Macaca fascicularis: one gene and its partner. The protein of the gene in region 1 interacts with the protein of each later gene in a pairwise test. Links are inferred from orthologs where the notes say so. Each region holds a gene or a part of one and is shown on either strand. Other genes may lie near its edges.

Region 1 (4,468 bases):
CATTTTCTGTCATCTGGGCAGGAACCAATCTCCTTTTGTATCAAATGGCCTTCTGGTACATTCTGGAATCTTGCTTCCTCATCTATTTAGTGAGGCTAATACCGCTTACTTGTAGTTTTGTTGTAAACTAAGATAAAGCCTGACATATTACTCATTTTAAAATTGTACACACAGACCCTGCTTTAACCAGATGCCTGCAAATACTCAGGTTTTCCTTCTACATATAGAAGACAACTTATCAGCTGCCAGGGCTGAAGCCAGCAGATATGGCTAAATGACAGAACAAAGGATTATGCCAATAAACTATGCAAAGCTTCCTTGCCCAGAATATAAATCAAACAGAGTAAAAAGCGAGTATATTGGCTCCAGGAAAAGGAGCAAGGACAGCCAGTTTTCAGGCGACCTCGAATTCTCTCCGTTTAGGATTCACCAACCCTAAGGTCCACTGGGTCCTTCAATCTGAGGGTCCATCCAGGGCCTTCCCTCCTGGGGTTGGAGATGGCTAGCTGCCTGATGGAGAGACCCCAGGCTGCTCAGCAGCAACGCCTGGCACAGCCGAGACAGCCTCGTAGTCTGCGATGCGGCGCTGTACCAGGGCAGGCATGAGCTGCACGTAAGCGGCCATGAGGCGGTGGTTGGAATGGATCAGCTTCCCAGCACAGCTGTGCAGACAGGCCTCCTAGAAGGAAGATAGGGTTTAAGCGGAGGACAAAGGTGTCCTGTCGGGCCCGCCTCCGTCCTTCCCCATGCACAGCCTAGGGGTGAGGGTCTGGGAAGGCCAGGACCAGAGGTAGGGGAAGTGGGGTGAGGAGGGAAGCAGTCTACCGCTAAACTCTGTTTGCAGCGTAACCTCCTTACACAGTTCCCCACCTCCTCAGCGTCCAGAGCTCGGTGGTGCAAGCTGGGCACACAACGCTGGAAGCAGAGTTCTGTCATCCGATTGTAGACCAACAGGAAGTCACGCAGCTGGGAGAAAACCGGGACCACGAACTCAGCGATATGTGCCCCACACTTCTACTCAAGGTCGCGCCGCCCAAAGTTTCCCAGGCCCGCGCACCATAACCCGAAGTTTCCAGCCCTCAGATCCCTGGCTCTATGGGGTTTCCGCGATGTGTGCAGGAATGCGAGCTGAACGTCTGGCCCCGAAACGACTTAGTTCTCACTCACGTTTCTCAGTTGCTGTTGCTGCTGCTGCTGCTCCATCACGCCACCGGCGCATGCTCTACGCCACTTCCTTTTCAGCTTCTCGGTGCCGCCCCGGAAGTAACCTCTCGCTGCTCTCGAGAACCAAGCTAGAGTATCGCCCTGCCCCGGCTTCGACGTCACTTCCGCCCTTATAATCTGCGACGTGGCCGGCTTCTTCTGCCCGGAGAGGACGTCACTTCCGCCGAGTCCCTGACCTGCTGCTAGGATCGCGACGGGAACTGGAGCCCGAGGTCCCCGCGCGGCCCGGGCCTGGCGCCCTGAGGGGAAGAGCGGCCCGGCCCGAGGTGAGAGGGACATGCTTGGGCGACGGGAAGTTGAACGCACAAACCTGTCCAGAGGGCAAGATGCCCCGAGCCCTGGGGAAGAATGAGGACACACCTGATGTCCAGGTGTATGGGGGTGGGGGCGGGGACTCACATACCTGGGAGACTGACTGTGGAAGGGATCACCGATATCCTGGTAAAGACAGGCTTTTGCCAGAGACTGGGAACATACACCAACTGATCTAACTAAGGCCTGGTGGGGAGGGCCCAAGGAAGAGGAGTTGTATGAGACGGAGGAGGGGAGACCCCCTGAAGGAAGGGGGAAGAAACACTAAAGGAGTGAGAAAGGCCAAGCAATGGAGAACAAACCTGAATGGGGGGTGAAGACCTGAGCCCTGGAAAGGGTCCATCTCCTGCTCAGCATAAACACGCCTGCATGGAGATAAGTTCTAAGAGAGCTACTTTCCCTCTTCACTGTTGTATTTTCATTGTCACAAATAGTACCTGACACAGAGTAGGCACTCACTAAATGTCTGCTGAATGACTGAATGAGTGTAGAATAATCACCAGAGGCCTGGTGAGGTTGGGGGCTTGTGAGAAGACACCGTGCTTTGGTGTGCCTGTGTACAAATGTGCATTTTGGAGGGGAGAAATACATATACCTGAAGAAAGGAATGATGACCAAACGCTGGGACACTCAAACCCTGGGACAGCCTTTAAAGAAATGACAGAGGAGGCTTCCTTCTTCTAGAGTGCTGGCCAGTGCCCAGAACTTCTGTGTTGGGCTTTGCAGGGTGCTGGGGTGGAGAGTTTTACTCCAATACCTTTCCTAGCCATGACGGACGGGATCCTAGGGAAGGCAGCCACAATGGAGATCCCTATCCACGGGAACGGTGAAGCCAGGCAGCTTCCTGAAGATGATGGGCTGGAGCAGGTGCTTCTGTTTGATTCTTCTAATTGTTTCAATTTAGGAATCCAATTTATAAATCCTGGGTTCTCACCCTCCATTCCAGTAGCCTTCCCCTGAACTTATCTGACTCCCTTAATTTTACATATCATTTTGATTCTGTGCAGACTTCCCTTGTGTAGTGTCTTTATGATGCTTGAATCCAAACTTGTTCCCACCTCCAAAATGCTTCTGCAGTCCCTATGTTCCTGAAGCAACCCCTCTTCTCTGGCCTATAGGACCTCCAGCAAGTGATGGTGTCAGGACCCAACCTCAATGAAACCAGCATTGTGTCTGGTGGCTATGGGGGCTCTGGTGATGGACTCATCCCCACAGGTATGAACAGAAACAGGAAGCTTGGGTGGAGGAGGGGACAGGAATGGTTTGGGGAAGCATAGGATATGTCTAGGAAAGCTTGAATAATGTCTGGAGATCTTAGGAACTTCTGCTTGTAGGAATCCCATGGACTCTCCTCAGCCCAAAAGCAACTCCCAGCATTGTCCATCCATTTCCCTTTTGCCACTTGGCCCCTGAAATGGCTCATTCGTCCTTTCCCTGCCACCACCTGAGTCAAGTTAAGACCTACTTCACAGGAATGCCCCCGCTCTACAGCTTGAGGCTGAGTTGGAACTTTGTGAGGCTTTTCAGAATTTTTAGATTCTAAAGTTTAGAGGAACAAACAGCCCTGAATCTCACACTAAGATTCCACATGGGAATGCAACCAGGTTTCTTGTTATCATGACCCACCATCCTTGACTCCTGCTGCCCCCAAACTCAGTGTATTTTCTTCTGTTTCCTCTGCCCCTATACACCAACAACTCCCTGCAAACCTCTCCTCTGGCCTCCAAGGAGGCCATATGTATATCAGGATTTGGTTATCACTGTGCAAGGTCCGAGTTCCTCCTAGTAAACAGGAGAATCCAGTTGTCTCTAGCATCTCCTTCAGGGAAGTCAATTTCATGTGCTGGGAGAGAAGCATGGGTGGGGCCACAGAGGTGTCTGGTGTATCTGAGAGAGGCTGGTGTCAGAGAACTTGATCCTTTAGGGTCTGGCCGCCATCCATCTCACAGCACCACTCCTGCTGGCCCTGGAGATGAGGTGGCTCGGGGCATTGCTGGAGAAAAGTTTGACATCGTCAAGAAATGGGGCATCAACACCTATAAGGTAGGATTTGAGCACCTCTCACTTCCCCAAAACTCGTTATGGGTACCTTTTTCCCCTTTCCTCATGATCGTAATATCCCATCTGTGGCTGAGAGTAGGAGCCTGGGTGGCGTTGGGGTAGATACCTGTTGTGTCGGGAGGCTATTAGGGTCTCTGATCTATTGCCCCGTTTCCCAATCAGTGCACAAAGCAACTGTTATCAGAACGATTTGGTCGAGGCTCACGGACTGTGGACCTGGAGCTAGAGCTGCAGATTGAGTTGCTGCGTGAGACGAAGCGCAAGTATGAGAGTGTCCTGCAGCTGGGCCGGGCACTGACAGCCCACCTCTACAGCCTGCTGCAGACCCAGCATGCACTAGGTGATGCCTTTGCTGACCTCAGCCAGAAGTCCCCAGAGCTTCAGGTGCCTCACCCAGACCAAAGAGGGTGGGGGAACTGGGCATGGGCCCTCCCAGGCAGTCATTCGTCATCCTCCCTCCCTCCTGCAGCCCACAGGGAGAACCCCTTCAGGGTGGGCCCAGCCCTACCCCCAGCAGCACTCACCTGTGGAGGCAGCCTAAGGGTTTGTACAGAGGTCCAGAAGTTGGAGGGGGTGGGGGAGGGGGCACACTAGGTGCTTCACAAATAACCCCTCTCTGCATTGGGGAGAATGCCTTCAGTGCTCAGCCTAATCAGAGCCCCTGCCCTGCTTGCCACACTAGCTCTTAGACTGTTCCAGTCTTGTGAACTTATCCAAGAATGCCCACCACCCACATTCCTACCCCAGGTATCCCCAGGGTGACCCCACTGACTTTTTAGCTAACAGAGCTTTGCTGGAGGCAGTCCTTGGTTCTTCCAGTTTTGCTGGCTGTTTCCTCCCCAGGGAGGAGGGGAATGAAGGGCTCTACAGC
Region 2 (3,149 bases), on another chromosome or scaffold:
AGGCTCCAGTGGGCAGTGTCCTGGCTGCAAGCCCTGAGCTTAACTCCACCCCCTCCCCGCTCCCCCCGGCCCCCACAAATATATCTCTCTATACATGTATATACAGGCGCACACATGCACGCAAACACAGAGAGGCCCGTGCAATTTCCATGTAGAACAGGGAGAGGGTGGCGAAGGAAAGACAAACAGGGAGTAGAAGGGCTTGTGGGGACAGAGAAAGGATTCAGATGCCAAGAGGACAGCAACCACTGCCAAACAAAGAGAATACCCCACTCGACCTCCCGAAACCCAGAGGGTGAGAGAGAGAGGGGCCACCCCATGAAACCATAACAACTTTGTTTTTGTTTAAAATCCAGTAAATTGGAATGACTCATCATCAGGACAGCAATTAGGGATTGGTCATATAGGTGGACAGGAAAAAGGAGGGGAGGCAGGGGAGGCAAGGCTCTTGCTGGGCATGCGGACATGATACCCAGGGCCCTGGCCACACTTGCAGTGGAGAGGAAGGGGTAGGACTGGGGCAGGGTGACAGCAGGTATGTCAGGGGTGGGTGGGGTGCTTGGTTAGGGCTGTCTGGCTCTCACTTCTTGTTTTTGAGCTGATTGGCCAGCCAGTCCAGGCCTTCGTACAGCCCGTCCCCGCTGGTGGCACAGGTGGCCTGAATGTACCAGTTACGGTGACGAAGGGAATGCAGGCCCAGCTTGTCTGTGATCTCAGCAGCATTCATAGCATTAGGCAGATCCTGGAGCACGTGGGAGACACACAAAAAGAAGCCTCAGGATTTTTTAAAGGCTTCTAGAACACCCATCTACCAAAGAAATGTGTACCAGCACCTTCCCCTCCTCCTTTATTTTAGGAAACCCAGACCAAGATCCTAAGGAGCTACTTTGGATTTAGTCACCCTAAAACCCAAGATCCAAGGCACTGGAGGTCACTGTACTGAGGAATTGGAAACCAAATACGAGATTGGTGGGGAAGCAAGAGACGTGATTCAAACTGACCAAAGAATCAGGTCTGTCTGACAGCAGGAGTGAGGCCAATTCACCTAAAGTAGATAATAGGCAAGATGAAAGAAAGATTTGAGGCAATCCCTGAGGACTGCAATGTTGCTAAATAAAGCTGGGGTGGGGCACGAGAAGAGGGGCATAAAGAAGCCAACTGCTCAATTTCCCACACTTCTAAAATTGAGAGCATACTAAAAGGGTTTACCATATAATAGGCCCAAGACCCAACAATTTCCACAGCCAGTTTGCTGTCTCCCAGATTCTGGGGTGGGAAGAAGTCTCACCTGTTTGTTTGCAAAGACAAGGAGTACAGCATCCCGGAGCTCGTCCTCTGCCAGCATTCTCATCAGCTCTTCCCGGGCCTCATTTACTCGCTCCCGATCATTGCTGTCGACCACAAATATCAACCCTAGGGAGGCAGAGCATGGGCTGCACTAAGATGACAGGTAACCCCCTCCCCCCAACAAGAAGACACTTGCCTGACACCCTCCAAATATTTGCTCCCTTTCCTCCCTTTCTTCTGCCCCCAGGAGCTATAGCAGGGTAACAGTTGGCCACCCATAAACAAGAAAGACAGCCACACACTCTGCTCAAACCCAACCAACCCATGCTAGGCCTGGGCATACCTTGGGTGTTCTGGAAGTAGTGTCTCCAGAGGGGCCGAATCTTGTCCTGGCCACCCACATCCCACACTGTGAAGCTGATGTTCTTATACTCCACTGTCTCCACATTGAATCCTTTGGGAAAAAAACAGGCAATGGTCACTTGGCCTCAAACACTAGCCCTGCAACCACCACCACAATGAGTTTGGTTCTGCTTTCTCCCAGTGGTGGCCATGACACCAACAATGGAAAAAAGCCTAAGGCTTCCTCAGACCTGGTAATCGTTAACCTAGCAGCCTGAAGGCCAAAATGAAAACCGAAGAGAAGTCGAAGAAGATGAGGAAAGTCGGTCAAGAGGTTCACAGTTGCTTGGGTAACGTGGGCCAACTTTCCTGACTTTTCCACTGAGTCTTTGGTGCTCCCTTCTACAAAATGACTCAGCCCTACTCTGGTACTTTGGCTACCAGAGTTGGCCTCAGCTAAGATGTGAGGCCTGAGAGGCAGAGTGAAGAAAGGGAAGTAAGCTGGCATCCTGGAGCCCCAAAGGCAGAGCCAGCTGAGAATGCTGACTGGAGCCCCCACTACATGGCAAATGTTCTCCCTCCCTTCAGCAGACTGTAACCAAGATTGGCCACCAAAGACCTAAACCCAAGCAATTCCAAGCCTTTGGAAGGAACATCAAAGCCTTTCACCTGCTTTCCAAACAACACAGAGAAAAAACCAACTCCATGCCTGAGGGCAACTGTTGAGTGCCAGGCCATGGAAGTTCCTGCATCAGGGAGAGCCAGGTTAGGTGGGCAAACAGCAGCCCCAGCATCTGCTAGTAAGCTAAACAACACCCCCCTCTTTTCTGAACCCCACAAATTGTATGGACTTGCCTGGGGAGAAGAGGCCAGGTGGGAGAACCAGGAATAGGTCCCTGCCCTGACTCAGCTGCTGGCATGAAAGCCCACATCCAAGCTCTGCTCTTACCAATGGTAGGGATGGTGGTGACGATCTCCCCCAGTTTCAGCTTGTATAGGATGGTGGTCTTTCCTGCGGCATCCAGGCCCACCATCAGGATGCGCATCTCCTTCTTCCCAATCAGGCTCTTGAGAAGGTTTCCAAAGATATTGCCCATGATCACAGCAACTGCTTTCTGGGGACAGTGGGGCCCAAGTAGGGGGCAGTGGCAGTCTGGTTTTGGCCTGGTCCCTGGTATGGAAGACCTGATCCTAGACAAAGGAAATGTAAAATCGTACCATCATTTGCTTGTCAGGACTTCCACGTAATTAGAATTTCCCAAGGTCATGGCTAGAGTTCATTCATGACAAACCGAGAGTCTGAGGGGACTATAAATACCAAGGCCCACTTAACATACTGAGTCTTTGGGAACAGAGACAAAGCAGTAAACACTAAGGATCCCTGCTCTGCCAGTAATCTAACCATGTGACTCTGGGCAAGTTACTTCACTTTTCCATATCTGCACCTGTAAATGAAAGGGGGACTGAACTAGATGATTTCTGAAGTCCCTTCAGTTCTGCTATTCTACCCTATACCCCGA

Evidence for each region.
Region 2: the proteins of ARFIP2 (region 1) and ARF3 interact in a two-hybrid assay, tested with the Homo sapiens proteins (2 studies listed by BioGRID and IntAct). The link is inferred for Macaca fascicularis from reciprocal best matches to the Homo sapiens genes ARFIP2 and ARF3.

What each region holds. Positions count from the first base shown.
Region 1 is NC_088388.1:59,599,475-59,603,942, forward strand, and holds the start of ARFIP2 (arfaptin-2), read left to right. Parts: upstream 1-1,389; 5' UTR 1,390-1,490; intron 1,491-2,262; 5' UTR 2,263-2,304; coding exon 2,305-2,403; intron 2,404-2,654; coding exon 2,655-2,751; intron 2,752-3,460; coding exon 3,461-3,579; intron 3,580-3,759; coding exon 3,760-3,981; intron 3,982-4,066; exon of another isoform or gene 4,067-4,140; intron 4,141-4,468. Other genes in the region: TIMM10B (mitochondrial import inner membrane translocase subunit Tim10 B), read right to left, coding at 503-679, 871-966, 1,168-1,203. UniProt on the Homo sapiens protein: Plays a role in constitutive metalloproteinase (MMP) secretion from the trans Golgi network. May have important functions during vesicle biogenesis at certain cargo subdomains, which could be predominantly utilized by secreted MMPs, such as MMP7 and MMP2.
Region 2 is NC_088385.1:55,751,743-55,754,891, forward strand, and holds part of ARF3 (ADP-ribosylation factor 3), read right to left. Parts: intron 2,821-3,149; coding exon 2,579-2,820; intron 1,742-2,578; coding exon 1,631-1,741; intron 1,414-1,630; coding exon 1,289-1,413; intron 743-1,288; coding exon 581-742; 3' UTR 1-580.